Oryzias latipes: one gene and its partners. The protein of the gene in region 3 purifies or fractionates together with the protein of the main gene of each other region. This does not show direct contact. Links are inferred from orthologs where the notes say so. Each region holds a gene or a part of one and is shown on either strand. Other genes may lie near its edges. The genes, in order: dcaf7, pdcl3, cct7 and tubd1.

Region 1 (7,215 bases), on a different chromosome or scaffold from region 3:
CATATAAAAACAGAACTCTGGTTCACTTCTGTTCCATTTCAAAACCACAAAATCTAAAATAAAAGCAGAACATAATTTGACTACAACAAAGAAAAACAAGCCAAGTTTGTCTGAGACATGAAAGGATACAATTTATTAGAGCAAATTCAATAATAAACTTTATGAAAAAGAGCTACAACATGAACACTTGGCTTACCAACAGCTGTTGATATATTTATATGTATGTACATTTTACCTTGTATTGGCATGCTACAAGGGCCCCTTAAGTATTAAACAAAAAGCCAGTGGACAGAAATGCATTCAAGAACTTCAGTTCCATCTCGCACTTGACCGGGAAAGAAAAAGGCAGGTTTCTACACACACAAAGTCATTAGAAAGACGAACATGTTTAGGTTTGTCTGTACATGGTAGTTTCTCTGGATCCAATTCAAGATAACAGACAGGAATGCATCCCGTCTTACTTCGCAACTTTAAAAAACTGCACGGGTCTGAACCCCGAGCGCAGAGATGACCCATCGGCAGGTAAACAAGACTAATATTCAGGACCTTAGTTTGAAAAGATTATGGTATGCAATCCACTAAAAAAAAAGGCTACAACATACTCCTACGCATCAGAGGTCGTCTTCTGCCACAAACCAGTGTTAGAATCGACCTCGACAAATTCAACTGATGAAATGTACAACATCTAAACCCTTCATGATCGCCTCGGCGTATAAAAGACGCCTAAATTTTAGAGACAACAGCTCTGACGCTGATTCCAGCTGCGGGCCAAAACGAATAAGAGCTTAAACACGTTTCTCTGAAAAGCGGTGGAGCGGATGCACGGACATTTGATGTAAACCAATTTATTGCAGAGCAGGTATTAGATCATCCAAACACTCTCAGAGAGCTAAACTGTGTTCGTGTCCTGGGACTGAAAGCAGGGGAATGAGAACTAAAGTCCAAAGGTGAAGCAGAAGTCCTTCTCCGGGCTTTTAGACACGCAGGATCTCCAGGCAGTTGTTGTAGCAGATGGCGATCCAGTCTGGTTGTGTTGAAGCCCACTGCACGTTGTTGATCTCCCCTTCGGCGGTATAGGCCAGGATGGGGTCTTCGATGGCACGTGGCATCTGCTGGATATCCCAGATCAGAGCCTGATGATCGTCGGCTGGAAAGATACAGCAAATGTTTTAAGTCAGGAACAAGAAGAAAAGCAGACGGAAACAAAAGCTTTTCCCACCCACATTTGAAAAAAAACCTCAATCGGTAAAATGGCAAATCTTTCCAAATGCACTCTGGCAAAAAGCCACTTTGGTTTTTCACAATTGGAAACATTTTTCAAACCAGTTTTATGAAAGTTAAATCAAAAAAGACCGTATGGGGAAACGGTTTCCTTGGTTTCCACTCACCTGCAGTGCAGATGTGACAGGAGGAATGAGGGGCCCAGGCGATGCCGTTGACACAGGCGCGATGGTTATTGAGCCGCGCCACGGGTGTGCACGGCACACGGACATCCAGGATGACCACCTACCGCAAAGACACCATGAGGACAAGCCCATTTCTGACAATGTTCTAAACTTTATCTGGAAGAATCATTAAACACTGGTTTAAACAGGACTTTGTACAAAAGTTAAAATGACGAAAAGAGGTGGAAAATCTGCAAATGACAAATTCCTCTGCACCAAAAGAGATAATTAGCGACATAAATTCCAGATTTGTATTTGTCAATGTCAAAACTATATGCTAAATGATTCACCTCCATGCCGTCCATGGCCATCGTGGCCAGGTAGTTGGGGTCCTGTTTGTTCCAGCAGAGACGAAGCAGTGGGTGGTGCTGGGGGTCTTCATAGATGATGGTGCTGTGCTCCAGATGTCGCAGGTCAAACATGCGGACGGATCCGTCGGCCCCCACGGAAGCAAACATGTCTCTGCCCCCTCCTGCACGGCTGAAAGCGATGTCATACACCTGCAGAGACAGGAGGAGGTTGAAAACTCTTCTGTACAGACAAATACCAATCCATTTTACAATCAAGACAAGCACAGACCTCTTTGTCGTGAGCGATTAGCTGGGTCTTCACGTGCCCAGACACCAGGTTTACTCGTCCCAACACCTGACCTGTCTCCAGGCCCCAGATAGTGCAGGTGGTGTCGATGCTGGATGTTCCTGTCGGATAAAATACTTTTTTTAATGACTTCTCAAATGCCCCAAACCCGACTAGGCTTGCATTTATCAAATACTTTTCTTACCCAGAAGATTGGGATCAACTTCGTTCCAGTCAAAGGAGGTGAGAGGGGCACAGAAGTCTGAGTTCTTGTTGTTATTTAGCAAACACTCCAGACGTGTTTCCGTGTCGCTGACCTGGGAAATAAAAGCAGAAAAATCCACAAAAGTCCACAAGACTTCCAGCAAATTCCCTCACCATCCCTTACGATGCAGATCCCGTCGGAAATGTTTCTTTGCTGATGCTCAAAATCAGTATCGGAGGCTGAATAGTTCATTAAGTAAGGGTTAAAGGTCTTCCAAGAGTGCATTTTTCAGAAATTAACGCACGCCGTGGAAGCCTGAATTGGTTGCTTCTGTGAAGTGCGTTCATTTTTGAAAAATGCACACTTCAAAGGCAATTATCCCGCCTTTACGATGGTCACTTACAAAAGAAATAAATATTCAATCAGTTTTTAGTACTTTATTCTTGCTATTTTTTGGGTTTAAATAATTGTTCTCACAAAAAGCAGACTATTTCTTACGTTGTGCTGCAAATTGTCTTGTGACCTCGACTGGAGCGGCAAAGGAAAATGATATATCCACACCCAGCAGCCAATCAGAATTAAGTATTCTTTCAGACCATGGTATAAGCATGTATAAACACTGGGGCTGGGCGATATGGTCTAAAAAAATGTTTTTAATTGATTTCTGATTTTTTCCGATTTTCCCCCCTACCTAAGGAAAGCAATAAGTACAAACGGCAGAAAACTTAAAGCAAATTTTGATTTATTTAATCAAACGCAAGACAAATGTAACCCCCATTTCTGGGATGAATAATAAATAAATGAACACACTCCGGGAATCAAAGTCCCAGCTGTGTTTTAAGTCAGACTTACACCTTGAGAGTAGCACCATTTCTAAAGGATTAACAATACAGCTCATATCTGGGGTCTAAGGTTTTAATTGAATTAATAAAGCCCGTTTTCTCCACAGTATATATGGGTACCATGTCTTTGGCTGTATGCAAAGCGACCGCTTCAGTGATTGTTCTCCACCGTGCCCCTAGGGATGGGTACTGAGCCCCCGTATTGAACGAGCCCCAGAGCAACATTCTTCAAGATCTGACCTCAACGGTTCTGCTATCCGTACTGGAAAAGTCGCATTTTTTCTGTGTCCCACAAGATATAAACTAGAGCTGTCACGGTGTGGGATTTTTGATCACCGCGCTGACGAAGCAGCAGGAGTCGCGGTCAACCCCCCCGCCTAACACAACATCCGGCATCGCAAATGAATACACAAATAAATGTAATTCATAATTGCAACGCAGTATTCTTTATTAACAAATAACAGTAAAAACTAACTACGAAGTAACTAATGAACTAACCATATAGGTGTTGGAGAATGAGTGTGCGTGTCAGCGCACTGCGTGCGTGTGTAAGAGGAATGAGCGCGTGCCGCGCGAGAGTGAGTGACAGCGTGCTGGGGGGGGGGGCGTTCATGTTTGGAGTTACGGATTGAAGGAGAACTGTAATAAAAGGTTTCCCCCAGGTGTTGGAATAGGTTTGTGGTGCTGTTGCCTTTGACTGCGATGGGCTTTAGGCAAATGTTGCAGCGTGGGGGGGGGGGCTCTTCCTCCACGTCGGTGGCAGTAAGCCATGTTGTCGCTTGCTGTTTCGTGTGTGCTATGATGTTGTTGTTTGTCGCTTGCCACATTGCCGTGTGAAACTAACGCTACGGAAGCTCCGGGGAGCCAAAAATGCGCCATTACACAAAAACTCGATTCAGTTATTTTTGAAATCGCCCGTAACAAAAAATTCGAATTAATTCATTCAATCGATTTTTCGCCCAGGCCTAATAAACAGCATTGCGTGTGTTTTTAAAAAATACTTAAACTGATGTTAGAAGCCAATTAACAGGCATATATGTAACCTGCCAAATGATACTTTTAAAAGAAACTGTGAGGCATCACAAAAGTTAGAAATGGGAGGAAAAAAAGTATAACGACAGGTTTCATTACATACATGGAGCCTTTGTCATAGTGGTTCAGCATTATAGCTATAGTTCAGGGAAATTTAAAAAAAATATATACAAATGCTGTGCTTTTTAAAAGAAAATAAAGAGGTAACATACACCTTTTTATTTAAAAAAAAATGCTCCAGACATTTAGTTTACTTTTACTTACTTACAGTTCTATCTCATTTCAAAATAAAATTTCCTCACTTCTTTCACTTTTGTCTCTATTTTGAATTGTATTTATGTAATTTTATGTTTAAATGTGTTCTATAATCTATTTTATAATTTATTTATTTTTTTGATTGTTTCAAGTCTATAAAGCACTCACTGTTGTATGAAAAATGCCCTATAAATAAAGTTTCATTTGATAATTGTAACATTATGCTTACAGGTCTGAAAATCCCCTTTAATATAAAAGAGTTTTAACACATAAAGCAGCGATGCGGCAATGTAAAGCATGACAAGTATAAGTTCCTTCAAACACACCGATGTAAAAAAAAATCCCAAAGTGAAAAGTACTCGAGTTACAAAGAGATGACCCAAACAAAAACATGACAGACGCAGCAGGTGACCGGGGTTTGACATCCTACCCTCCAAATGCGCAAATAGTCTCCACTGGTGGCCAGCAGGTCTGGGTAGACCCCTTTGGTGTCCGGGATCCACATGATCTTGGTGGTGGGGTAAGGGTGATCAAACGTGTTCCTGCAGACAAACTCGGAGCTCTCCTCTTCCAGACCCACCAACTGAACCTGAGTAGAGATATGATGACAAGAAAAAAATAAAAGCGATTCGTTCTAATAAAAAATAAATTAATTAATTAATTAAATTAAATTAAAAAAGGGGTACCATTAAGCATCGATGGAGACGTTATTACGAAGATAATAAACGCAATAACATTTTGCAATACCACTCTAAACATGTACAGAGCTAGCATAGCACTGATTCAAGCGCGTTTGTTCGTGAAGGGTTAGCTGACTCAAAAAACAAAACATAAAACAAGCTACGCACCTTGTTGTTATACTCTTCCACAAAGCTCCCGAGGGCCAGCCGAAAGCGTTTATCCGGACGAACGCTCCAGTTCATTGCGTACACCGTCCATGGCGCCTCGTACTTGTAGATTTCTTTTCTTTTGCCGTGAAGCGACATCCTCACGAGCTGTTGTCTGAGCAGCTAACACGCTAGCCCTAGCTTACTGTCAAATAAGAAAACGCCGCGACGAACTTTTACCGGCTCGTTTTCCTATAATAGAAAAGCATCAAAAGAAGCACGGTTGACTGTTAAAAACGTAAATCTTGTTCTAAAACAAGATTTTACAGCACTTCACTTAACAAAGAGTAGCATTGCTTGTTACGATCTTGATGGCGAACCATCTAACCGACGTATGAAGAACTTCCTGGTTACACTTTCAAAATAAAAGAGAGTTTTTAAAGAGCACTCATTAAAACTTTTAGTGAGAACGTTTGAGTTTATGTTGTTAAATTAAACATGTGTTTTATGAATTTAATTATAATTAAAATAAAATTTACGTAATTTTTTTGCTATGTATTTCTCACTGTCAGGCTGTGTTTCAAAATAGTTTTATTTTTAACGTGTCTACCGGAAGCGAAATTATGTAGTTACGTCAATCTTGATTACTGTCTGCAGTTGTGACCATAAGGGGGTAAATACAGTTTACAGGCTTCAAGATTGTTTTTCTTGTAACATCTTGTCTACATATCCTAATGAATTTTATGTTTATTATACGATGCAGCGTCAATGTTTACTTTCTAACGAATGTGCAGTCTTGTTTCTATGTTTAATTTTGACACATGAACCGGAAGTAAGATTATTCCAATTTGATTGAGCCCTTTTAGTTGCTTTTTCTGTCCAAAAAAATATCGTATACCACACCAAATATCGAACCTCCTTGTGACGGTGTGGCACTGTCAGCTGGTTTTGAAAGGAACTTGTATTTGTTGCTGTCAAAAGTATTCCTAGACAATTTATAATTCAATTAATGTAAAGTTTATAAACCATGGTATGTTAATGAATGGCTTAATTACCACAACAAGTGGCCATTAAAGTCCTCAATTTTTCACCTCTGCTCCCTGAAACATTCCGCTTAAATTCCTCTCATTTAAATGCAGCAACTTTGTCTTGCTGCAGCTGATCTTCATTCCTCTGCATTCCAGAACAAATCTCCTAGATGTTCCTCCACCTGCTCTCTGCTCAGATCGTGATGTCAACTGCAAACATCACGATCTATAGAGGTTCCTTATCTGCCAGTTTGTCCATCCATCATCACAGCAAACAAGAAGGAGCTCAAAGCTGATGGTGCAGTCTCACCTCCAGCTTGAACTCTTCTGTCACACATACAGCACGTCTTATGTCTTCCAGCTCTAATGGATGTCCTGAACAACTCAAACATACTTCTCTATCACTCCAGACTTTCTTATACAAATGACAACTCATCTTGCAGTAAAAACACTCTATTGGTTGGTGATTTAAAAAAAAAAAAAGGAAATCTTGGTGTGTCTTGTTATCTGTCACTGCAAGAGAACACATGCTAGACTTCTGGAAAAAGTTTTCTACATCGTTGCTTTTATTTTGAAAGGCAAGTCATGTCACTGGCAGTTTCCTGTCTCAAACGGAACTTTACTCCAAGGACAGTTTCAAGTTCTTTTCTCCTAACCAGCTTCGCGTTCATTGCTATACTTTATCCTCAAGGTAGGCAGCTTCTTCATTATTTTTGGTTTACACTCTGTTTACAAATCTCACTAAATATATAGCAGTTTTATATTGATCTAGAACACAGGTTTAGTTCAACGTGACAGTGTGTCAGGCTTCCTTAGCTAGCATTAGCCAAATGCTACGTTTGCTAACAGATTAAAGTGAGTGAGAGTTGGGGGATGGGTTTAGTTATTAGGATTAATCTTAATTCTTAGATATGTTATTAATTGATAGCAAAGTAAAGGTAAAAAATTTTTTTTAAATGTATTTGTTAGCAAACGATTTGTCCCTGTATATTCAGCCATGCTCAA
Region 2 (7,300 bases), on a different chromosome or scaffold from region 3:
TGGTGGCTCTCTCAGCACATGTTTACGACAAAGTGTACTGACAAACACGAGAGGAGAAATTTGGCAACACGGGGACTCTCTCAACAAGTGCCTTAGAGCAGGTTGATCGCCACCTACAGTTAGAAATATGAACTCCATGGTGAAGGCCACGCCCTTTCGCCTCTGCTCCAATGCTGCCAAACCCCATGCGGTTCCCTCTGGTTTGTTTCACGACTCTTTCCCGCTTATTCGTCGTCCTCCTCAGAGTCACCGTCCTTCCGTGTAGGAAGCGAGTTCCTGATTGATGACATCAACTTGTCTTCTATTTGTTTCCTCGGGTTCTCCTCCAATTCTGTCTTCACCGCCCCGGATTCAGAAAGCCTCCACTCCAGCTCTGGATGAATTACAAAAAAACATAATAAACATGTGATGGGACATGTCACGGGATAGACTCCGGTGACCCCGAAAGGGAACAAATGGATTACAAAGTGAATGAATAATAAACATGAACAAAGTCTAAACGCATTTTCTGCGTAAAAAGCAAGACAAACAAATGTTCTAGAATTATCCACATTTAAATTGAACATGTCCTAAAATAATGAGAATCATATTTAAGGACACTTTTTTGAAATAAACCAAGTTGCCAAACGTTAAAAGGACATTTGGCAAAATCCCAAACTAAGGTTACAAAACCCAAAAGTCTTTAAAACTTTATTTAGAAAAACTGACATGACAATTAGCATAATCACCAAAGCGGTGAGTATTATTCACAGATGTTTGACATCCCACTAAAGGCTCACACACAAACAATATTCTGAGAAATATTTGGAAATAACCATTGATGAGAGCTGTGGCAGTGTTTTAGCTACTGCTTACCTTCCACTTTGAGGTTCATGCCTCCAAACACCAGAGGACCGATGAACTGCGCCTTCATCTCCCCTTCAAAGTAGACGAATATAGTGGGCAGGTTGCGGTCGGGGTAGTTTGGGATGCAAGTGGTGGAGATGGACTTGAGGAACTTTGTCTGGGGAAATTTTCGGGCCAGCATGTTCAGGTGCTGATTGATGAGGGTGCAGAGGGGGATGCTGGGGGAGAAAAAAAAAGAAGAAAAGGTTGCTTTAATGTTGAACACAATTTTAAAAAAAAGGAAAAAAATGCTGTTTAGATGCAGAATTTTATTCATAATTGGATAAAAAGATCAACGTCTAATATCACTTTACTGTCAATATAATGATTCCCAAAAACAACAACGATGCAAAATTGAAAAGATGTTTGAGCATTTAGTTTCTAAAACAGTTTTAACACATAATGGGTGGTAAAAAAGAGGGTTATTATTATTTAAAGACTTATGTTAGCTGGAGCTTTGAAGATTTTTTTCCAAATGTTGCAGCCATCTGTGAGGTTTAGGTAGAGTTTGGATGCGAAGCAGGAACATCATTGAAGGCTCGCACTAAAATACTGTATTTTTACGACTACGGGGCGCCTTACTTAAAAGTCGTAAATTTTCTCCGAAATGTATGGAGCGCCCTTTGGTAAAGAGGACGGAGAAGAGGACAGCATGAGAACAGTAAGGAGGGCAGTGAGGACGTGAAAGAAGACCCCCCCCCCCCGAATAGTACAAAAATGCATGTGCAAAAGGCATGTGCATTAAGCAGAACAGCATCGTTTTGGTAACCCTGAAAATGCAAAGAGATACACTCATATCAGTTTAAACAGCAAGCTGTCACACTTTTACTAAGACTGGGAGGAAGCGCTGGGCGAGTTACACCACAATTTGTGAATGGATTGTAGATGCTTGGGCTAACGAGTGTTGAGGGATGAGTGTGGGTGTTTGTGGAGCGCATACAGCGCGGTCAGTCAACGTTTTGGAGTTGAGAAAAGAAATAAAGAATGTTCCTCTGAAAGAACTGAGACTGGCAACTGAGACGGACTCTGACGATGACAGACGGGAAGCTGGCGTGTTTGATAGAAATGTAGCCCAGCTGTTCATTTAGGATACAGAAGATGAGGACTTTGATGGATTTTTGGATGCTGATTGAGGACGGAAAAAATGTAAAAATAAATCACAACCAACTCAGTTTTGCTCCAGCTGCCTTTTTAAAAACACACACTAGCATGGATGTTTTACCAGTATGTTTGAACGTCCTCGCGGCGTGCGATTTGTAGGTGTTAAATACAGAAAAATCACCCAAAACTGAAACTGCACCCCAGTGCGCCCTATGGTCATGAAAATACGATGTCCTACAAAGAACTTTTAAATACAACTTTCAAGCCATCGGATATGGTGAAGGTAATCCTGCTAAACTAGTAGCATAACAGATTATGTCTTTGGTTTTGAAAGTCTCTCGTCTTTCATTAGAAGCTGAAAAGTCTTATAGAAAAATCAAACTGTTAAAAATGAGCAAACATCTAAAGCAGGCGTCGGGAACCTATGGCTCGCGAGCCATATATGGCTCTTTTGATGGTACTGCGTTTGTTGCGGTCTACAGTAACCAGAATAAAGAACCTTAAAAGAGGTTAAGTCTCCGTGCCTCCGTGTGGGAAAGGGACACTACATTATTGTATGGCTCTTTCGAAATTACATTTAAAAATATGTGGCGTTTATGGCTATCTCAGCCAAAAAGGTTCCCGACCCCTGATCTAAATTTTAAGCAAACCTTCAAAATCTCTTCTATAAAAAACAAAAAGTAAATTTTGACTGAAAAGAGGAAATCACCAAAGTAATTTTACTAGGCAGACAGTGATTACTGCATTTAGACGTTTTACAAACTGGTATTTAACAAGGAAGTACTTTAAGTGTTTTAAATCCAATACTAAAGTTGAAAAAGGAATTTTAAAAAATAGTTTAAAAAAAAAGAAAAAATACATTTTAAAAAGATCCAGTGGCAAATATTCTGAAATTATAATTGGATTTTTTTTTTAAAAGTATTTTTCCAACAGCTTCCAACAATCTAATTTCCCAAATCAAATCTAGCAAAATTCATGTAAGCACTCCTGCTTCTTTCTATAGTAAAATTTTGCTTTTTATATCACAAAAGACCAGTTTTTCATTGTTGGCACGTTTTTGTATGCCCGTGTATTTAATCTCAATCGTCCTTAGTCTTTTCCCAGCATGCATGCGTCTGTATGTGCTTTCATGAGACCCCCCTCACCCACAGAAATGCCCAGGGGTTTGTTGGTTTTGTTCCCCTGTTGCTTTTGCTGGCTTACCCCTGTTTGTAGAGGTGCAGCACCACCCAGATGCCGTCTCCAGCCTTGTTGACCTCTTTGACATAATCCTGTCCAGAGATTTCCCCCAGTTCCCCGAACACGTTCTTTAACTGAGTTGCTTTCCATTCTGCAAGACGCTTCTGTCTGGAAGGAGAGACGGCTTCCATCAGTTCACTTACAGACGGTGGGTCCCAAAGCGCAAACAGCTTCACCCCAAAGGCTCACATGGCCGACCCTTTGAGACGGCAGAATTTCCCCAGAGAAGGGTTTTAGTTCAAAAACATTTCAGCAAGTTAACAATTCAAATCACTCAGAGTTCACACAATGAGTGCAAAAGAGACTCTGATCGATGGGAAATTTGTAAAAGGGTTAATCAAATGTAAAAACAACAAAAAGATAGCTTCAAATAAAAGAGTAGAAATAGATATGCAACTATACCAACCCCAACCACGAAACAAAGGAATGCTTTTGACCCACTGATATGATCTGGACCATAAATCCCAGTCTATGAGGTGCTGCAATTATTAGCTCTGTGTCAGTCTGAAAGTTTGGTGAAGGCTGCGTGATTCCTGAGACTAACCTGAGATCCGCTCCACCTCTGCTTACCTGTACATCTCAATGGCAGCCTCATCATCCTCACCAAACTCATCTTCATTTTCCTCCAGTTCGTCTAGTGTCATGTTTTCATATGTTTTGACTAGTCAAAGACAAAAAAAATAAAATTAAAAGGGACAACAATTTTCTGCTGATTATGTTTTGGGAATTATATGATTTTTGTTGGTTGAAAATGTTAGAGAAACATGAATTTTAAGGACTAGGGTGGTAGTTTCGAAGCATTCTGTTAGATCCAACTATCCTAATTCTAATTTATCTGTCTTACCAACAGACTGTTGCTGCTGCTGGACAGCCAAAGTGTCCTCTTCTTCATCTTTAGGAACCTCTTTGGGGGGAAGAATTCCTTTTTTCCTCAAGATATCATTCCACTCGGTGTCTTCATTTGGATCCTGGAAAAACAAAATGTGTATATATATGACATAATCACATAGTTTCATACGCCTCTGCTATACGGATTAAACAATCTTTAGAATAAACAGGATATGACATCAAGAAGAGAGTTAAGAAAACTGGACCTTTGCTGCTAATATTAACACACACACACGAATCTTAAACTCTTATGGAGGCACCTTTACAAAATGTATTATTTGTACTTCGAACTAAATTAAACAACTTTATTAGTATAATGTTGGGGTTCAAATTCAGAGGGGAAAAAGGGGAAATAAAAATTATTCAGGAAGATGAGGACACAAAACGTGTAATACGCCCGTCTCCATTCAAACCCCTCCTCAATGTGTTCACAAATAATTAACCCCACTGGTATATTTTAGTTTCGCGGCTTCGCTCAGAGACGTACACCAAAGTATTACAGTAAATAAAATAGTTTTACCAACCTGCATTTTTTTCAGAGAAAATCAAACCACGGCTGTTCTCCCAAAAACGGAAGCAGAAGGAAAGCAGTGACGGCGATTCCGGCAGAAACAACAACCTAACATTTCTAAGGAGACTAAAGATAACCATAAGATAAATTCAGCTCGTATGTCATATTTTCATTAAAATGTTTTATTTCTTTTTTATTACTATTTCCCCCCAGAAAAAAAAACTTTTAAACATATTTAAAAAAGCTAGGAACTAATCCATCGCAGGTACGACAATAATAAATGTGACAACAACTTCCTGTGGACTCGATATGACCATTTAAGGAAGGGGAGCGGAGCATTTCGTTTGACTCAGAACAGGTGCTGCAAAAACGCACGCATGCGCACAGAGTCGTGTTAACTAACTGAACGTCTAAATGTTGTCAGCATAATTATTTTACAAAGCAAATAAAAACAACTTTGTCCTCTACTATTTCATATATTTCTGTTACTATATATATACATGCAATTTTATTTATTGAAAAAGTAAATTGTAAATTTATGAACGCATGTAAAATCTTCATCAAGTTAAAAATGTTGTTGCACTGGTCCATGTTAAAAAGTTGAGTTCTGTTCCAAAATGTGATTGTGTTTGTTAAATTTCTGGGAATGGTTCTGGGAATAATAACCTGGGTAGCGTGCTTTAAAACGGACAATATCTGTCAAAAAAAAAAAAAAAAAAACAGTTGAAGAACGGTTTAAGAACGAGATACCAATTGTGATGTGGATCAAGTTATCCAGATCACAACGAAAGGGTTTTCCTGCATGTGATGTACATTGATGACAGCACTACATAATTCAAAGAGAAGAATTTCTATTCAAACATTTTTGAAAACCTTCAGTGAAGAGGAAAAGTTTAACACACCGTGTTGATACCGTTAGTCAGCTGAACAAACAACATCAGTCAGTGTTAAATGTGAAAACGTGGTTTGTAAAGTAACATATTCGCTGTTCTCCTCAGATTTAAAGAGATTTTAGTGAGTTTTAGCAGATTGCACTCAGTTTCCGGAAGCTAAACCATCCACATGAGACCTCGCATGTGACCACAATGAACAAAGACTTTAGAACCGTTTGGCTGAACCATGGACATGTACAAACTTGTCCTTAGTTTGCTAAGATGAAATCACAGGTCACTGAACTCATGAAGGTGGTTCAGGAGCTTGAAAAACCGGAAATGGCCCACCTCTTTGAACTGAAGACAGCTTTTGGACCATATTGCACACGACGTCATCCTTATTTTTTATTTTTATTTTTTTTATTTCCAGCATCGTTAAGTCCTGTGATGCTTTCTTTAAAGAAAATACGCGAGGAAAAAAAATTGAATAGTATGACAATTTTTTGAGTTATTTGTTGAATTGCATGTTTGTGCTGCTCTGTTTCAAAAATTCTCTGAGTTGCTTCTCCCATAGTTGTAGTGAGAAGCCTTAACAATCATAACATTTCCTAAAACTCTTTCCTGCCCACCTCCCCAAATGACACAAATATAAAGTTGTTTAAACCTCAGAAGACTAAATATAATACCATGTTTATTCAGTAAATCAACTAATATTGTAGACAAGAGAAAAGGAAACAAACCGATCTGCTTGTTTTGCATGTTGCAATCAAACAAGTCTTTGTTCTCGCACATCACGTTTCTAACCAGAAACTAAATTCAGAATGACTGAGCAGGCTAGGCTAAATAAAGAACCAGAGTTCATGAATGTAGAAAAGATTTGTGCCATGAGATGAGATGTTACTGTTGCCATGGCAACAGGAGAAAACTTATCTTTGAAAGACTTACAACAACTTACAACATTTCCTCTGAAGGTATAAACCAGTGTTTTTCAACCTTTTTTGAGCCACGGCACACTTTAACCTTGACAAAAATCCCGCGGCACACCAGCCCCCCCCCCCCCCCCAAAAAAGCAGAAACTCATAGTCTGTTTTGATCTACAGCCCCCCCCCCCCGGCAATCTGACGTGCATTTTTGTGATAAAGTTGCAGATGTTTTTTCTAAAAGATGTAATAAAAGTTAAGTTACATACAAACTGTATGTTCGTTGTGGTTTCAATCCGTGTAACAAGGACGACTCATTGTACGCTGAGGCGCTGTCCCTTTAAGCCAATGCATCATGGGAGATGTAGTGTGAATACGGCGAGAAAACGGCAGAAAGACTCGCGTCTCTGAGCTTCATGGTTTTGTTCACTTGTTCCACGGTCTGATACCGGATTCTGTGGAAAGCTACACCGCTAAAGCTTTAGCTGGTGTTTTTGTTGGAAATGAGTGAGTTATGAGCTAAATTGGAACAAGGAAGTTTAGACTTTAAACACTTCTGATTGGTCAGACTGATGACATGTGATTAAGCCTTCAAGAATGATTGGTGGAGTCGTGGAGACAGTAAAAGCTGCGGGACTTTTCAGAAAACAGTTATAGCTGCAGCTTAATCGCGGTGCCGTCATTCTTATCAAAATGTCTTTAATAGAATCAGTTAAACACAAAGAAATAAGTATTTTATGATCTTTCATATTCCTAACTACTCAGTGTTTTATCAGGACCTGTTTGGATGAACAAAGAGCTGATTTCCTGGAGATGGTTAATGTTTTTAGATCAGTTAATGAGGGCAATTTTCCACGGCACACTTGACCATCTCCCACGGCACA
Region 3 (7,412 bases):
GTCAACTGCCAATTTAAGGGACATCGCCCAACCTTAAATGCAACATCTGCCAAATCTACTTTGAAAGCATAAAAATGCAGTCATTTGCAGTTCACAAAATCTACCCATTTGCATATAGAATTTTTTTAAAAAAGGTATTTGAAGAACAAAATGCACAGATGGATCTGAAGTCAACTCATTTTTCTCACCTTTCTCCTCCCACCTGAACCTCTTCAAATACTTCACAAAGTCCCAGCACATCCTCTGTTAGCGCTCCCACAGACGTCTGGATGGAGCCGCCACAAGCCTAACATCACATGACAACACAGATCAAAGCGTGTTTGCTGTCTGACCGTCTTTAAAAACCCACTCAGATCATCTTTTGGGGCGGCCGTGGTGCAGCGGTAGGGCGGTCGACCCATGATCGTAAGACTGCAGGTTCGATTCCCGCCTTGCATGCCCATGAGTCAAAGTGTCCTTGGGCAAGACACTGAACCCCACCTTGCCACTGGTGGTAGGCAGGCGCCTATGTTTGGCAGCGGAGCCGCCACCAGTGTGTGAATGTGTGTGTGACTGGGTGAATGGGTCTGTGACTGTAAAGCGCTATGTGCTTGTAGGAAGAAAAGCGCTATATTAGTATACGCCATTTACCATTTAGCATCTTTTGATCTATTGTAAGATTGTTCTTAATGGTCTTTCAGTTAAGATTATGCCGTTTTTAGCCCAAAAGACAAAAACCTGTGTGGTTTCTAAAACAGTTTCTGCAGAGCGGCAGGCAGTAGTTCACAAGAAATTCACCTCTGAGGTGTGAGCAGGACTGTTGGTGCAGAGTAACCCGCCTCCTTTCCCGTCACCCATAACTGAGAGCTCCCTGTTTACGTGCTTTCCCGGTAGCTTACAGCCCCTCATAACCCCAACCTCACATTACTGTTGCAAAAAAAGGGCGACCAGTATTGGAGCTATCCAGCCATATAGTTTTGATCCAGATGCCAGCTCAGACAAGGAAAATGAAGATGTACATGGATCTATCTACAAGTGGATGCATCTGAATGGAGCAGAGCAGGAAGTGGCCCGCTCAGCGTATTTTCTACGTCACCTTTATCAAACTGCACTTGTCTCGTCTGCTCCCGATTTGTTTGAAGAAAGAAATACTCAGTAATGCAGTTTTAAGCTTAATTTTCTTTCTACATGTCCTCTATCATGAGAAAAATGCCTCAAGAACATTTTAAAAACACAGTTTTCATCGGAGTGGGCCTTCAAATAATCCCAACAGTATTCCACATCAAAAACCTGGGAGGGCAAAAGAACATTATAGCAAAAAAACCTAAAACGAGATTTCAGGTTCTTTTTTGATTCAATAAAGCAGAGTCTTGCCGTCAAAACACCTCAGAAAACATTGTTTTTGTCTCACCATCATCGTCCTCTTCAGGTCCTCCTCCTGCACCCTGCCAGCACAGAACAGGTCTCTGTCTGCAAAGTACTGGGTGGCCACGTCGCCGATGGGCAACTTTGACAGAACAACCTTGGCTCCAGACTGATAGATCTTCTCTAGTTTGTCGTACAGAATGTTCCACTCTGCATCCACGATGGCTTGATATTCCTGCAGAAGAAGTGGACGAAATGTTTCTTCACCAAGCAGGAAAGGAAATTGCTCTCAGCAATGGGCGTTCAAGCCACCACTTCCAAATAGAGATCAACGTAAACGCACATTTCAGGCTTTCATTTAAAACTCACGTTCAAACGTTGCTACACAAGTTTTTAAAACTTTTTATGGGCATGTTGAAAGATAAACCCCATCAAACTTCAACCGATCAGGATTTGGTAGAGACGTATGGACGGCATCCCTTTTAATTTAAGGAAGTGCCGAGAAAATCGATAATTGTGATTTGTGCCTGGTCCAAATTATGTGACACCAAGTCTTTCATATATTGCAATAGAGCTGAGAAATAAAAAGCCTGGAAGAAGATTCATGAGATTTGCACCACTTCAACATTTCACACAGAGCCTCTCCCAACTGTAGGTGGTGGAGATGCGCGAGTAAACAGTAAAAGAAGAAAAAAGCCCCTTCCTGGTTGTCCAGTGTGAACATCATGAGCTAAATTGAGCGAGTTCTTGAACACATGTCACATGTATGAACACAGCTTAAAGAGGATTTGCTGTAGCAGCCTCATACCTCCACAGACTTGACACGAACTTCAGCGTTGTCCTTCTCTGCTTTCAGCTCCAGCTCCACGTTGAGCAAAGCGATCTTCGGGTTATCGTAGCGTTTGGGCTGCATCTCAAAGCCAGCGTAGGAGAACGTCTTCTTGAAAGCAACGCCAGAGACCAACTGGGAATCCTGCGGGCAAACAAATGATCACAAGGGAGTCAAAAAAGCAGCCAGCTAGAAACCAAACGCTCAGAGACGAGAAAGAACACCCACCTCCAGCGCTCCTCCCTGGACCTTCTTGATGCCAATCATTTTCAGAGACAGAAGCTCGTCCAGAGACATGACCGCATCCACCACCATCTTAGAGAAGAACTCCTTCTGCCCAGCGATCAGTTTGGAGTTCAGGGCGGTCGCTGCACATTTCTCCAACAGCTGCCTCTGCTCTCTGACAGGATGGAGGTAAACATCAGCAAACACGATGGACTGAGTCTCAGCTGCGCAAAAACCATCGGCAGCTCACTGTTTGTCGTCTTTCTTCACAGAGACGGCGATCTCTTTGATCTTGCTGACAGCGAGGTTGGTGGCAGTGCGGAAAGCGCGGATGATGGTCTGAGGGTGGAGACTCTCCTCCACGAACGGCTTCAGCTGCCTCAGGAACTCGGCGGCCAGGAGGGTGACGGACGTGGTGCCGTCTCCAACCTGTATATGTAGAGAGGCGCCTTCATTTAAAAGTCAATTTCAATTTTAAAGCTGCTTCAGAATACCACTTCTACTCACCTCAGCATCCTGCGAACGAGCGATGTCCACCAGGGTTTTAGCAGCAGGGTGAACCACATCCAGCAGCTTCAGGATGGTAGCGCCATCGTTGGAAATCGTGGCCTTTCCTGGAGAATGCAAACATGTTAACAAAAAAACAAACAAAACAACATTTTCTGTCATGTTTAAACTTCTCCAAATCCCATCCCTCCTTACCTCTGGCATCCACCATCAGTTTGTCCATCCCCCTGGGCCCCAGAGTGGTTCTGACAGCCTCAGCAATAACCTGGGCAGGAAACAGCAATCAGCAGGTCTGAAAGGCTCCACAGTCTATGTAGTAAATTCGCTAGTAGATGTTCCCCCTTACCTGGCAGGCATTGATGTTACTGACGAGCTGGGGAATGCCCTGAGACGAATCTGTCCCCTCCTTCAGCAGGATAACCGGTGTGGGCTGCAGGACACGGGATAACCACAACACCAATGTTAAAATGGCAAATATTTAAAGCCCCATTATCTTTTGATCTATTCTACAAGCAATCTCAGGGGTCTTTTAATGAAGCCAAAATGTAAAAAACCAGGGTTGTTTTCCAGGACATCGTTTTTGCAGAGCTGCATTAGTTTTCCTGCTTTTTTCTTTTTCTTTAATAAATTCACCTAAAGGTTTTGGGCAGGACTGTTGACGCAGAGCAAGCCCTCCCTGTTACTGACAGCTCTCTGTTTACATGCTCTCCTTCCATCTTACACCCCAACCTAACATTACCAGTCCAACATAAAAATGGCGACCAATATTGGAGCTATCCAGTCGTACGGATTTGAGCCAAATGTCAGCTCAGACGAGGAAAACAAAGACGTTCATGGATCCATTATTTGTCTACAAGCGGATGCATCAGAATGTAGCGGAGCAGCGAGCTTGTGCCCCGCCCACTAACTATTTTCGTCTACTCCTGATTCACAATGATTTGAATAAAAAATAAAGAAATAAATGTGATTTTAAGCTAAATTTCCTTAACATATCTCTTTCCTAGTCAGAAAAAAATCCATGAGAACATGTTACAAACACCAAAAACACTTTTCAACGGAGTGAGTCTTTAAAACCAAACACCCCAGAGGCACGTGGGTAATCAAACAAAATACTAACAGCCATTTACGCTTTATTTTATTACAAAGCCACCAAATTCTCACAAGAGGTTCTTCTGTTCCTAAAACATTTTTCTTCAAGTAAAAGTGACTTAAGATAAATCCTTAAGGCTGCAGTTTGAGTTTTAAGCTATATAGTGTGATAATTAAAAAACGGATGACAAAATTGAATATCATTGGTAATGCTGCAACAGGTATTTAAGTGTCATAAAATATATTTTAATGCATTATCAGTCTCGTCAGATGGCAATACAAACAGACATGAACTACAACCACTGCGGCAAAGAGACAGTATTACAAAAAGCTAATATGATAGCTAGCATATCATTATGTCAAAAACAATAACAATATATTGTTAAATAATGCGATTTAACAAGACTAACAGTATTTGCTCGTTTGTTTCTTTGTAGTCCCTGAAAGTGACTTTAATCTAGTAAATAGTGAACACGAAGCATGCTGGATGACATCTTCCCTAGCCTAACATACGCCCATTGATTGTCGGATGCTAACAGTGTGTAGCAACAAATAAAATCTTTTTTACAATCGATATCCACAAAATAACTGCGTTAAAACGTAGCTGACAACCTGCCGGATACGTCCCGAAAATGTCTAACATCGATGGTAACGGATGCAAGCCAGGATGGATGATGATTAATAGATGGATGCTAACAAACTCACCATCATCTTTGCGGTTCTTTCGAGAAGCTTTTCACCGGCAACCAATCCCACAATGCTTTTCGAGAGCTGATGCTGCTGGGTCTGCATTCAAGAATACAAATATTTTGTTTACGGTTATTTAAAACGTTCTACTATATTAGTGTTCGTTACACATGTGTGACAAATTAATATAATAACTAAACGAAAAGAAAATGTGAATAAATATCAATGTTCATAAAATGTGGTATCCCAAAAAATCTCAATGTTTTTAAACATCCAATTCAACTCTATGAATTTAAACTTCAGAGTTTTATCTCTATTAGAATACTTTATTTTATAAAAATCGTAATATTTGGTTGTTCTAACTTTACTTTTTAAATTTGTCTCTCAAAGCGCGCGCTGTTAAGTTGCTTTGAACGCAACTTTTTTTGTTTAGCTTCCGTGAAAATGTCAAAGGCCTCTGATTGGTCGTTCAGCCTGAGCACAACCGTCTAGGATGCGTTTGGTTATTTGCGTTACTTTGTCAGACACGGGCGGAGTTATTTGTTTTCACAATCGGACATCATTTGCGCCCCTTCAAAAACACCCTAAGTTACAAAACAAGCACTTTGCAATAACGTACCCAGAACTCGCGCGGAGTTCAGAAATTCTACACAGAGCGGTGGCGGGAGAGATTGCAAACGGAGAAATACAGGCAAATGTTGAAGCGTCCTTCATTTTATTTGACGAAGAATTTGGTGTGAAACAGCAAGAGGGCTTACTGGCAGCAGTTTTTGAATTCGAAAAAGATCGACCAGATGGAAGAGTTCGGAGTCTTTGGTGTTTTCGGAATTAATGGTCCGCCTCAGAAGCTGCTAAGGTACGAGAAAGGCGCTAAAAAAACTAGTGTTACGACAATGACATCACTTTAACTATGTTCAGTATAAAGTTAATGTTAAAAAAATATATATATGTATATATACCCTCACTTCAAAGTGAAATACGGAATATACGTGTCTAATATCTTGTAAATTGTGTGATATTTTGTGATTAAATGTACCTTAGGACAACACTTCACCTTTATTCGCGTTTTTTCCCTATTTTCCTCCTCTTTTTCTGTTTAGTGCCGATGGATCTTGCAGGGCTTCGGTTGCTATTCCTGCCTCTGTCCACCAGGTGGTGCTGTTCAGCAGCGGGCCGTGGGGGGAGAGGATCTGCGTCAACGCAGAGCTCAATGATGCTGACAGGTTCCCCATCACTATTGGAAAACTCACTCCTTATAACAAGTAACACTTTAAAAATATATATATATTTCTTAAATCATTAATGACTGCAGTGTATTTTAAAGCCACTCTAAACACATTTGCTGCAGATGTTTGTCATGGGAGCAGTGGGAAGAAGAGACATGGACAAACGGCGTCACTCTGACTATTACTTTAGAAGGAGGCGATCTGGTAAATGCAGAAGCTTAATAGAAAGAAGTTCACATTTGTTGTGCAACATCTGACAAGTTTAATCCATATACTCCACCCAGTCAAAAGCAGAACCAGAACGTATCCTGGCTGTGAAGGAATACACCCCAAAGGTAACCCACGACGTCCTCCTAAATATTTACCGTTTCAAAAAAGTTACTGTGTGTGTTTTAGGGAGAAATAATGCATTTCTCTCACACCAGGACATGGCGGCTCCCCTCGCACCCCGAGAGCTCAACAAGAGGAAGAGGGAGCGAACGTCGGAGGACGCCGACGGTGACAGCAAGGTGGCAAAGACGGGGGAGGAGGAGGAGGAGGAGAATACGTGTCCGAATGGGGCTCGGGAGAAGACCACACCTGTGGCGAAGGTCAAAGGTCAAGGCAAAAGCAGCAAGAGGCTGTTTGGCAGCAGAGCAGGGGCCTCAAACGTGAATGGAGCAGGTGAGCAAGTTTTTAAGTCCCATTCCGATTATTTTTGGATCTATTTTAAAAGCGTTCTCAATGGTCTTTTGATTATGATTGACATTTTTTCGCCAAACTTACACAAATGTACTCTTTATTAAACTATTTTTTTCCTCTGTTCCTAATTCACAACTATTTGAATAAAGAAATACTCAGAAATGCAATTTTAATCTTCATTTTCTCTTTAAATGTCCCTCATCATCAGAAAAAAGCCACAAGAAATTCCCAAAACCCCAATTTTCCTCAGAGTGGGTCTTTAATTTGACAGAGGGTGGCGTTAACGGCAACCAGTTGTTTGAGGACAAAAGTGTGCTTGAACCAAGCCATTCCATTTTTTTTTTAACAAGCAGTGCTACTCAGAGGCTGAAGCAGCTTGAAGTCATTCTTCTTTACGTCTGGTTCCACAGATAATGGAGCAGATGAGGCGGGTGGGGGTGTGGGAAGAACGCCCCCACAGGGCACAGCCAGGACCAAGAGCAGGCAGGCCAAGACTCCCACGCAGACTGGTATGCTTACACATAGCTTTATATCCTGTATTTGGATTTTCAGGCCTGAGTTCTATCTACGGTGGCCCTGAAGTCCAAATCACTACAAAAAAATCACTCATCATAAAAACATATGAAAGATCACAACAACAATAAAAACAGGTAAACGATTAACCAAAACCCCTAATTTTTAGAAATTTCAACAAAGTTCCAGAAATCAAAGCGTAAAAAACAAAAGCAATTTTCATAAAGCAAAATAAAATGTTAAAATAAAATAAAAATCAGTAAAGGTAGGTGCTATGGGACATCACTGATTGGATGAGGAGTTTTGAAGAA
Region 4 (7,277 bases), on a different chromosome or scaffold from region 3:
AGCAGTTTCAGGGTTCTCTGTGTCAGATGGTATCAAATAAGCATAATAGACAAGTACAACCAACATACAGTACATGTACTCATAAGTGGTGTAATCGGGACATTTTGCCATCTCCTCCTGCCTACCAGCATACAGGGCCTTGCAAAAGTATTCGGCCCCCTTGAACTTTTCCACCTTTTGCCACATTTCAGGCTGCAAACATAAAGATATAAAACTATAATTTGTTGTGAAGAATCAACAACAAGTGGGACACAATCATGAAGTGGAATGAAATTTAGTGGATATTTCAAATATTTTTAACAAATAAAAAAACTGAAATATTGGGCGTGCAATTCTATTCAGCCCCTTTACCTTCAGTGCAGCAAACTCTCTCCAGATGTTCAGTGAGGATCTCTGAATGATCCACTGTTGACCTAAATGACTAATGATGATAAATAGAATCCACCTGTATGTAATCAAGTCTCCGTATAAATGCACCTGCTCTGTGATTGTCTCAGAGGTCTGTTTAAAGCGCAGAGAGCATCACGAAGAACAAGGAACACACTAGGCAGGTCCGAGATTCTGTTGTGATTGAAGTTTAAAGCCGGATTTGGATAGAAAAAGATCTCCCAAGCTTTAAACATCCCAATTAGCACTGTGCAAGCAACAATACTGAAATGGAAGGAGTATCAGACCACTGCAAATCTACAAAGACCCGCCCGTCCGTTTCAACTGTCAGCTCAAACAAGAAGACTGATCAGACCTGCAGCCAAGAAGCCCATGATCACTCTGGATGGACTGCAGAAATCTACAGCTGAGGTGGGAGAGTCTGTCCAGAGGACAACAAGCAGTCGTATGCTGCACAAATCTGGCCTTTTTGGAAGAGTGGCAAGAAGAAAGCACTTTCTTAAAGATATTCATAAAAAGTGTTGTTTAAAGTTTGCCACAAGCCACCTGGGAGACACACCAAACATGTGGAAGAAGTTGCTCTGGTCAGATGAAACTAGGCCTGCACAATATACCGCAAATTTATCGTTCTCGCGAAATCAAGCTGTGCAATATGCATACCGCAAAAATCGCAATAAATGATTACCTTAAATGTGCTAAAACAAACTCATGGCAGCTTGAAATATTGAACAAATGAAATAAATCCCTTTGTGCATTTAACCAATCAGAAGGACCCGTTTACGTTTTTGATCAATCAGATGAGCCCTTTTATGTTTGATGTTTGCCTCCTACGTCGACAAGGGTCATTTGGAAATGCAGTGAAATGGAAATGATGTTTTTGTTTTTTTTGCTATTTGTTTATATAACGCAATTTATATCTTTATCGCAATATTAATTACCAATATCGCATATCGCGAGTTTTCCTCATATCGTGCAGCCCTAGATGAAACCAAAACTGAACTTTTTGGCAACAATACAAAACGTTATGTTCGGCATAAAAGCAACACAGCTCATCTCCCTGAACACACCATCCCCACTGTCAAACATGGTGGTGGCAGCATCATGGTTTTCTTCAGCGCAAACAGGGAGGATGTTTAGAATTGATGGGAAGATGGATGGAGCCAAATACAGGACCATTCTGGAAGAAAACCTGATGGAGTCTGCAAAAGACCTGAGACTGGGACTGAGATTTGTCTTCCAACAAGACAATGATCCAAAAACATAAAGCAGAATCTACAATGTTCACAAACACATCCAGGTGTTAGAATGGCCTAGTCAAAGTCCAGACCTGAATCAAATCAACAATCTGTGGAAAGAACTGAAAACTGCTGTTCACAAACGCTCTCCATCCAACCTCACTGAGCTCCAGCTGTTTTGCGGGGAGGAATGAGCAAAAGTTTCAGTCTCTCGATGTGCAAAACTGAAAGGTGCCACTACAAAGTATTAACTTAAGGGGGCTGAATAAAATCACACGCCCAATATTTCAGTTTTTTAGTTGTTAAAAAAGTTTGAAATGTCCAATAAATTTCGTTCCACTTCATGATTGTGTCCCAGTTGTAGATTCTTCACAACAAATTATAGTTTTATATCTTTATGCTTGCAGCCTGGAATGTGGCAAAAGGTTGAAAAGTTCAAGAGTGACGAATACTTTTGCAAGGCCCTGTATCTCCCAACTACTAACTTTCATTGATAGGACAATCTGCTATCTGACAGCATGGTCTCATGAACACTACAACAATACCAATCCAAAAGCAAAAATGATCCTAGAATGTCCACAAACAAAATATTGCATTGTTCTAGATGATCTCTGATCTAAATCACGTTGATCATCTGTGATGGAGCAGTCGTCTCCATGCTGTCTGGAGAAGACTGCATTCAAATCGGAGACAGAAATTGCCTCAAAAGTTTTATGACTTGTCATTTTTATCCAGTTGCTTTAGCGGATTCTGTTAAGCAATGATTCAAAAGTGATGTCTGACTTTCCTACGAGTTGTAGATCTTTATTTATTATGTAAGGGTTAATGGCCGACGAAGTGTGCGTTATTACTTTTAACGCACGCCGTGGAAGCCTGAACCTGCTTCTGCGAAGTGCGTTAAAAAGTAATAACGCAGACTTCGAAGGCCATTAACCTGCTTATACTATGGTCACTTACAAAAGCAATACATATTAACCAGTTTTTAGTCCTTAATTCTTGTTTTTTTTTCCGATTTGGATCGCTTTCCTCACAAAAAGCGATGTGCGTAACAGATAACAGTCCGCGTGACGCTGCATCACCGCTGCAGTCAAGATTCGGCGATGTATATATGCTGATCTTTCTGATTGGTTGAATAAAGCATCAGTTCAGAGAGAAAGTTCACCTCTGACCGCTTGTTTTTGTCCAAATGATGAAGCAAAGGTTTGTTTAAAAAATGTGATACGAAAAATTTAAGCTAGGTGACCGGACCTTCTTTTTTTACTGTGCGGTTATCAGGTTTTAATGCACACCCAGCAGCCAATCAGAATCGAGTATTCACCCGGAGCATGGAATCAAAGCTTTTAAATTATTTAGCAGCCACTGTGGGGTTTTCTTACGATTACAGTGGAACGACTTTGTCCACGGTTTGCACCTCACTCACCAAGAGGATTCAGGCTGTAGACTCCATTTGAGTCAGGGGTTAAGGCCGGCTGCAGGACTCCACCCAGCTGATGAGCAATAACTCTGTTGATGTCAGTGAAGGCGATGGGTTTGATGTTGAGCAGCCGACTGCAGATCCCGTGGACCGTGTCGTTCTCGTGCACCACGATGGCGTCGGACAGCTGGTAGAGATGAGCCAGCGTCAGCACCGAGTTGTAATTTTGAAGGATCACCTGAAAGAAAAAGTTGGAGACAGAAATGTCACCAGAAAAAGCACATTTCTGCGTCATGACGACTACATAATACAGATTTGTACCTCCCCTGTCCCGTACGGCCATGTGAGGTGGTTGAGGATAAACGATGCTGGGTAGATGTCTCTGAGACACTGAGTGATGTAGGTGCCAACACCTGAGCCGGTTCCACCTGCCACACTCATCATGGTCATGAGACCTGCCAGTCTGTCACAGCGCTCCACCTCCCGCCTCACCAGCTCCTCCACTGCGTCTTTGTGACGAGGACCATGGACGCAAAACCTAGACGGAGGCATGAAACACAAAACTAGATAATCACTTACCTTTCTCTGGACTACAATCTCAGCGTAGTTGATTCTAGTTCTGGACCCATCCTTACCCATTAGCCCAGTTGTTTCCAGATCCCTGCTTTTGACTAAAGTGGGAAGCTTCTCCATACCTCCACCTGCCACCTTTCAGAGCCTTGGTCATGCTGGAGTTAATCGCTTTGGGCTCCATATCAATCAGCACCGCCCTGGCTTCTAAGTCTAATGTAGAAAATAAAATAAAATAAAGGGTCTGCTCAGAAAACCCCCAGCAGGTTTGTAGCCGGCATCATTACCTCCATGTGATGTTAGATGGAAGAACCTCTCACAGCTGGCCGTGCTGTACGTTTTCCTGTGTGCTGCCAACGCATCGCTGCAAAGGACGTCAAACAGCTCCTGACCCACTTGGTTCCCACACTGACCGAGCTGGACGGTCACTACGGACATGGCAGCAGAACGCCGCTGCACTCGCGCTACAGTAAACAAATACTTCCTTTACGATTTTGAAAAGCGCATGCGCTGCCGCCACAAAGTGTTGTGAACAATCGCTTCCTGTTAAGTTTTTTCAAAATAAGACTTCTTTGAACGAAATATTTTCAAAATATAACGACGACATATGCCTTCTTACACAAATGCGTTTTTATAGGGAACAGCAGTGGAAATGTATTGGTTGGAGGACTTGGAGCGCTGTGTGAAAAGAGTAAGGAGCATTAATTTGAATACCCAATTTATTTCACTGACATTCTTAATTAAAAAACATACTTTTACCAAAAAAAAAGGTTTTCAGAAACAAGGCAGAATTTAAAGAATGAAGATAAAACCTTTCACAAGTTAAAAATAAACAATACATCTTGTTTACCCAGTGGGCATCATAGTTTACTGAATTGATTATATTATTAAGTTGTGTGTGTGTTTTTAATAACTAAAATTCAAACTAGCTTGACTTTTAGTTGTTTTTCTTTGCCCAACCAATCGTGTCGTTTTTATTTTTAGGCCTAATGCTTTTTCCATTTTTGAGAATTCATCCTGTCAGTTTTATGGCAGAAGTCCTTTCTGCAACCACATGGTAGTACAACCCAGAGCTCTCATGCACCATTCCCAAGGCTGTCAGGGAAGGCATGATGTGGAACAAAACTTGAATTAAAGATGCAATCTCCATTATTAGCTTTGAGGAAGCTGCTGGAGAAGAACAGAGAAGGTCAGAACAAAGTATGGAGAGCGGAGCTGTTTGTTTGAGAAACTCTGGAATGGCAGAGAAGGACATTGGAGTTGTGCCAGACATCCCTGTGAACTCTAAGGTGCTGTAGGTGTGACAGATGAGTTCAAGGTGGTGGTGGGACAACACCAAGGGTCAGCTTTGAGGTCCTTCTTGTTTGCTGTGGTGATGGACAGACCGACAGGTGAGATTAGACAGGAATATCTGTGGACCACAATGATGGCAGATGACATTGTAATTTATAATAAGATCAGAGAGCAGATGGAGGCACATTGTAAAAGATGAAAGTTTGCTTGGGAAAGGAGATGACTAAAGGAGAAGACTGAAGGTCAGCTGCAGTAAGAAACTATCTGAGTCTAAATGAGTGGAATTCAAGTGGGATTGTGAGGTTATAGGGAGCAGAGTGGATGAAGGTGGAGGACCTAAAGGTCAATAGTCCAGAGAATCAGAGAGAATTGGAAAAAGATGAAGAGGTGTGTGCAAGCTGGTTGGAGTGGGTGGGTTTCAGGGGAGGGGTTGTTGGAAGTCCACACCCTTACCGTTGAAAACGGGCTATAAGAAGAATATGTCAAACACTTGATTTGAGTGTTAGATGTGGGGGCACCACGTGATTTTATTGAGCCATCTGATTGGTCAGTTTATAACATGAATAACTTGCAATAAAGAAAAAATACCCCCCCCCCCAAAAAAAAAAAACAAAAAACAGAATTATCAAGAACACATTAAAAATAGATAGCATGGCGGCGCCCGTATCAGGAAGCAATGGCACTTTCTTTTTGGGAACGCGAGAAGGGAGAGGTTGAGCTGTCAATTGTTGTTTACAGTCAATGTTACTGACCCAACCTTCTGCATTTATCCGGACTTTGGACGGGCACATGAAGCACTGGTTAGTGCCCCCTGCAGTTGCAGTGACATACTGCATTTTGTTGTCCTTGAAAAGCCTCCAATTCCGTAACTAAACAGGTCCAAACCGGGCTTGGCCTATGAAATCAGATATTTCTAAGGTGGCGCAGTCGTGAAAAATGTTTTATTTAAAAAATAGTGTAGTAAATGTAAGCATTTTCTGACTGTAGTAGGAAAATGTCACCGCCCCTTTTCCAGAGTAGCACAGTGCGCATGCTCGTTGTAGTAGCCGGTTATGGCGGCCGTGTGTGTTTGTCCATGAGGTGGGCGCCGCTCGCTGTTCTTGGAGTTTGTGACTAGAACAACCCCAGCAACTGGATGTCATGGCTGGAGTGTTTGACATAGATTTGGACCAACCAGAGGAAAACGTCTCCGATGATGAAAACGAGGAGGTATTTTTTTAAATAGACAGTTGGACGTATATCTGCAAAAGCTGTCACAGCAGAAACACGGTAGCTAAGCTAGCTGTTAGCTTGGTAGCCTGCCTGCACTCACCGCAGGCCTGCTCCTGCAGCCGGAGCTATCCATCCTCTGCTGCTTCGGAGCAGCAGCGCGGAGGCTAACATGCCTACTCGACAGGACTTCCGCGTGCCTCATTTCTGTTTGTTTTCAGTTGCCGCGAGCGCGTGCTGCTGTCCCTTGTCTTAAAATTCACGTGACCCAAGTTTCTGGGGTTGTGCAAAGTAAACCAGGCTTTGTTGGGCAAATGTGGTGCAGGGAGACAGACGTGCAGTTTGTCTTGGCCAGCTCTGACAACGTGAGCTGGGAGCTCGCTGCCCTTTTTACTTCTGCTCCCACTGAAACATTTAAAGGGGCAACACCGGGTTGAATGAGTGCAGGACAAACACCTGAGCACCGCTATGATGCTGCATAGAGCTGTAATTACAGTAAACAGAAGCTGCTCAATGCGGGCAGTTCCTGGATTACTTCAGCAGTTTATTTGACACGTTATCTGCTGGTTTGTGCATAAAAAACAAAATGCATGCATTTTATGTTTCTGAATATTTTTATTTAAATGTGACCAAACTTAAGTGCCTTTTATTTATTGTAGTTTAAACTCCACATCTAATTATTTTTCATCCTTAAAAAGAAGAAATATTGACAGACCTCATTTTATTATAACTCATGATTTATTCTGCGGTGCCTGTCTTTACATATTGTTGCAACACTCCATATAATAAGTGGTCTGCAATGATTCATGTTTGTAATACTGTAATATATTTACACTACTTCATTGTTATTATAGCATTTCTTTTGATAATTTTTTTTGAAAGGTACCAGTGTGATTTTTATGGTTGAAATGTTTGTTTGTTTTAATCAGGGTCAGCATCATGACTTTATGGAGCAGTGCAGTGGGTTTGAGTTGTAAGTATCTGCACGTCGGCAGGATTTTGAATATTTTACAAACGAGGTCGATTTACCGCGAACGTGCAATATTTGAAGCTTGTGTCACGGCAGCAACATGGACGACTGTGAACAGATCGAAATCTCCGAGGACAATGTCAACCAAGGAACAGAGAGCATCAGACCAGAGTGCTTCGAGCTGCTGCGGGTTCTGGGG

Evidence for each region.
Region 1: the proteins of cct7 (region 3) and dcaf7 purify together in Homo sapiens (affinity purification with mass spectrometry; 4 studies listed by BioGRID and IntAct, counting the BioPlex papers as one, with this or other methods). This does not show direct contact. The link is inferred for Oryzias latipes from reciprocal best matches to the Homo sapiens genes CCT7 and DCAF7.
Region 2: the proteins of cct7 (region 3) and pdcl3 purify together in Homo sapiens (co-immunoprecipitation; 4 studies listed by BioGRID and IntAct, counting the BioPlex papers as one, with this or other methods). This does not show direct contact. The link is inferred for Oryzias latipes from reciprocal best matches to the Homo sapiens genes CCT7 and PDCL3.
Region 4: the proteins of cct7 (region 3) and tubd1 purify together in Homo sapiens (co-immunoprecipitation; 3 studies listed by BioGRID and IntAct, counting the BioPlex papers as one, with this or other methods). This does not show direct contact. The link is inferred for Oryzias latipes from reciprocal best matches to the Homo sapiens genes CCT7 and TUBD1.

Annotation. Positions count from the first base shown.
Region 1 is NC_019866.2:4,064,855-4,072,069, reverse strand, and holds the start of dcaf7 (DDB1- and CUL4-associated factor 7), read right to left. Parts: upstream 5,590-7,215; 5' UTR 5,342-5,589; coding exon 5,204-5,341; intron 4,945-5,203; coding exon 4,786-4,944; intron 2,339-4,785; coding exon 2,227-2,338; intron 2,144-2,226; coding exon 2,025-2,143; intron 1,946-2,024; coding exon 1,736-1,945; intron 1,507-1,735; coding exon 1,389-1,506; intron 1,148-1,388; coding exon 975-1,147; 3' UTR 1-974. UniProt on the Homo sapiens protein: Involved in craniofacial development. Acts upstream of the EDN1 pathway and is required for formation of the upper jaw equivalent, the palatoquadrate. The activity required for EDN1 pathway function differs between the first and second arches.
Region 2 is NC_019879.2:4,243,527-4,250,826, forward strand, and holds the start of pdcl3 (phosducin-like protein 3), read right to left. Parts: upstream 4,910-7,300; 5' UTR 4,644-4,909; coding exon 4,638-4,643; intron 4,194-4,637; coding exon 4,070-4,193; intron 3,887-4,069; coding exon 3,796-3,886; intron 3,334-3,795; coding exon 3,190-3,333; intron 1,065-3,189; coding exon 856-1,064; intron 374-855; coding exon 225-373; 3' UTR 1-224. UniProt on the Homo sapiens protein: Acts as a chaperone for the angiogenic VEGF receptor KDR/VEGFR2, increasing its abundance by inhibiting its ubiquitination and degradation.
Region 3 is NC_019876.2:13,084,790-13,092,201, reverse strand, and holds the start of cct7 (T-complex protein 1 subunit eta), read right to left. Parts: upstream 4,781-7,412; 5' UTR 4,706-4,780; coding exon 4,700-4,705; intron 4,699-4,699; exon of another isoform or gene 4,607-4,698; intron 3,336-4,606; coding exon 3,252-3,335; intron 3,171-3,251; coding exon 3,101-3,170; intron 3,013-3,100; coding exon 2,906-3,012; intron 2,828-2,905; coding exon 2,649-2,827; intron 2,574-2,648; coding exon 2,402-2,573; intron 2,318-2,401; coding exon 2,153-2,317; intron 1,580-2,152; coding exon 1,391-1,579; intron 287-1,390; coding exon 189-286; intron 1-188. Other genes in the region: tip elongation aberrant protein 1-like, read left to right, coding at 5,476-5,537, 5,782-5,943, 6,030-6,111, 6,192-6,242, 6,333-6,570, 6,999-7,097. UniProt on the Homo sapiens protein: Component of the chaperonin-containing T-complex (TRiC), a molecular chaperone complex that assists the folding of actin, tubulin and other proteins upon ATP hydrolysis.
Region 4 is NC_019871.2:24,829,885-24,837,161, reverse strand, and holds the start of tubd1 (tubulin delta chain), read right to left. Parts: upstream 4,132-7,277; 5' UTR 4,045-4,131; coding exon 3,894-4,044; intron 3,820-3,893; coding exon 3,672-3,819; intron 3,575-3,671; coding exon 3,358-3,574; intron 3,275-3,357; coding exon 3,043-3,274; intron 1-3,042. Other genes in the region: ribosomal protein S6 kinase beta-1-like, read left to right, coding at 6,040-6,108, 7,038-7,081, 7,160-7,277. UniProt on the Homo sapiens protein: Acts as a positive regulator of hedgehog signaling and regulates ciliary function.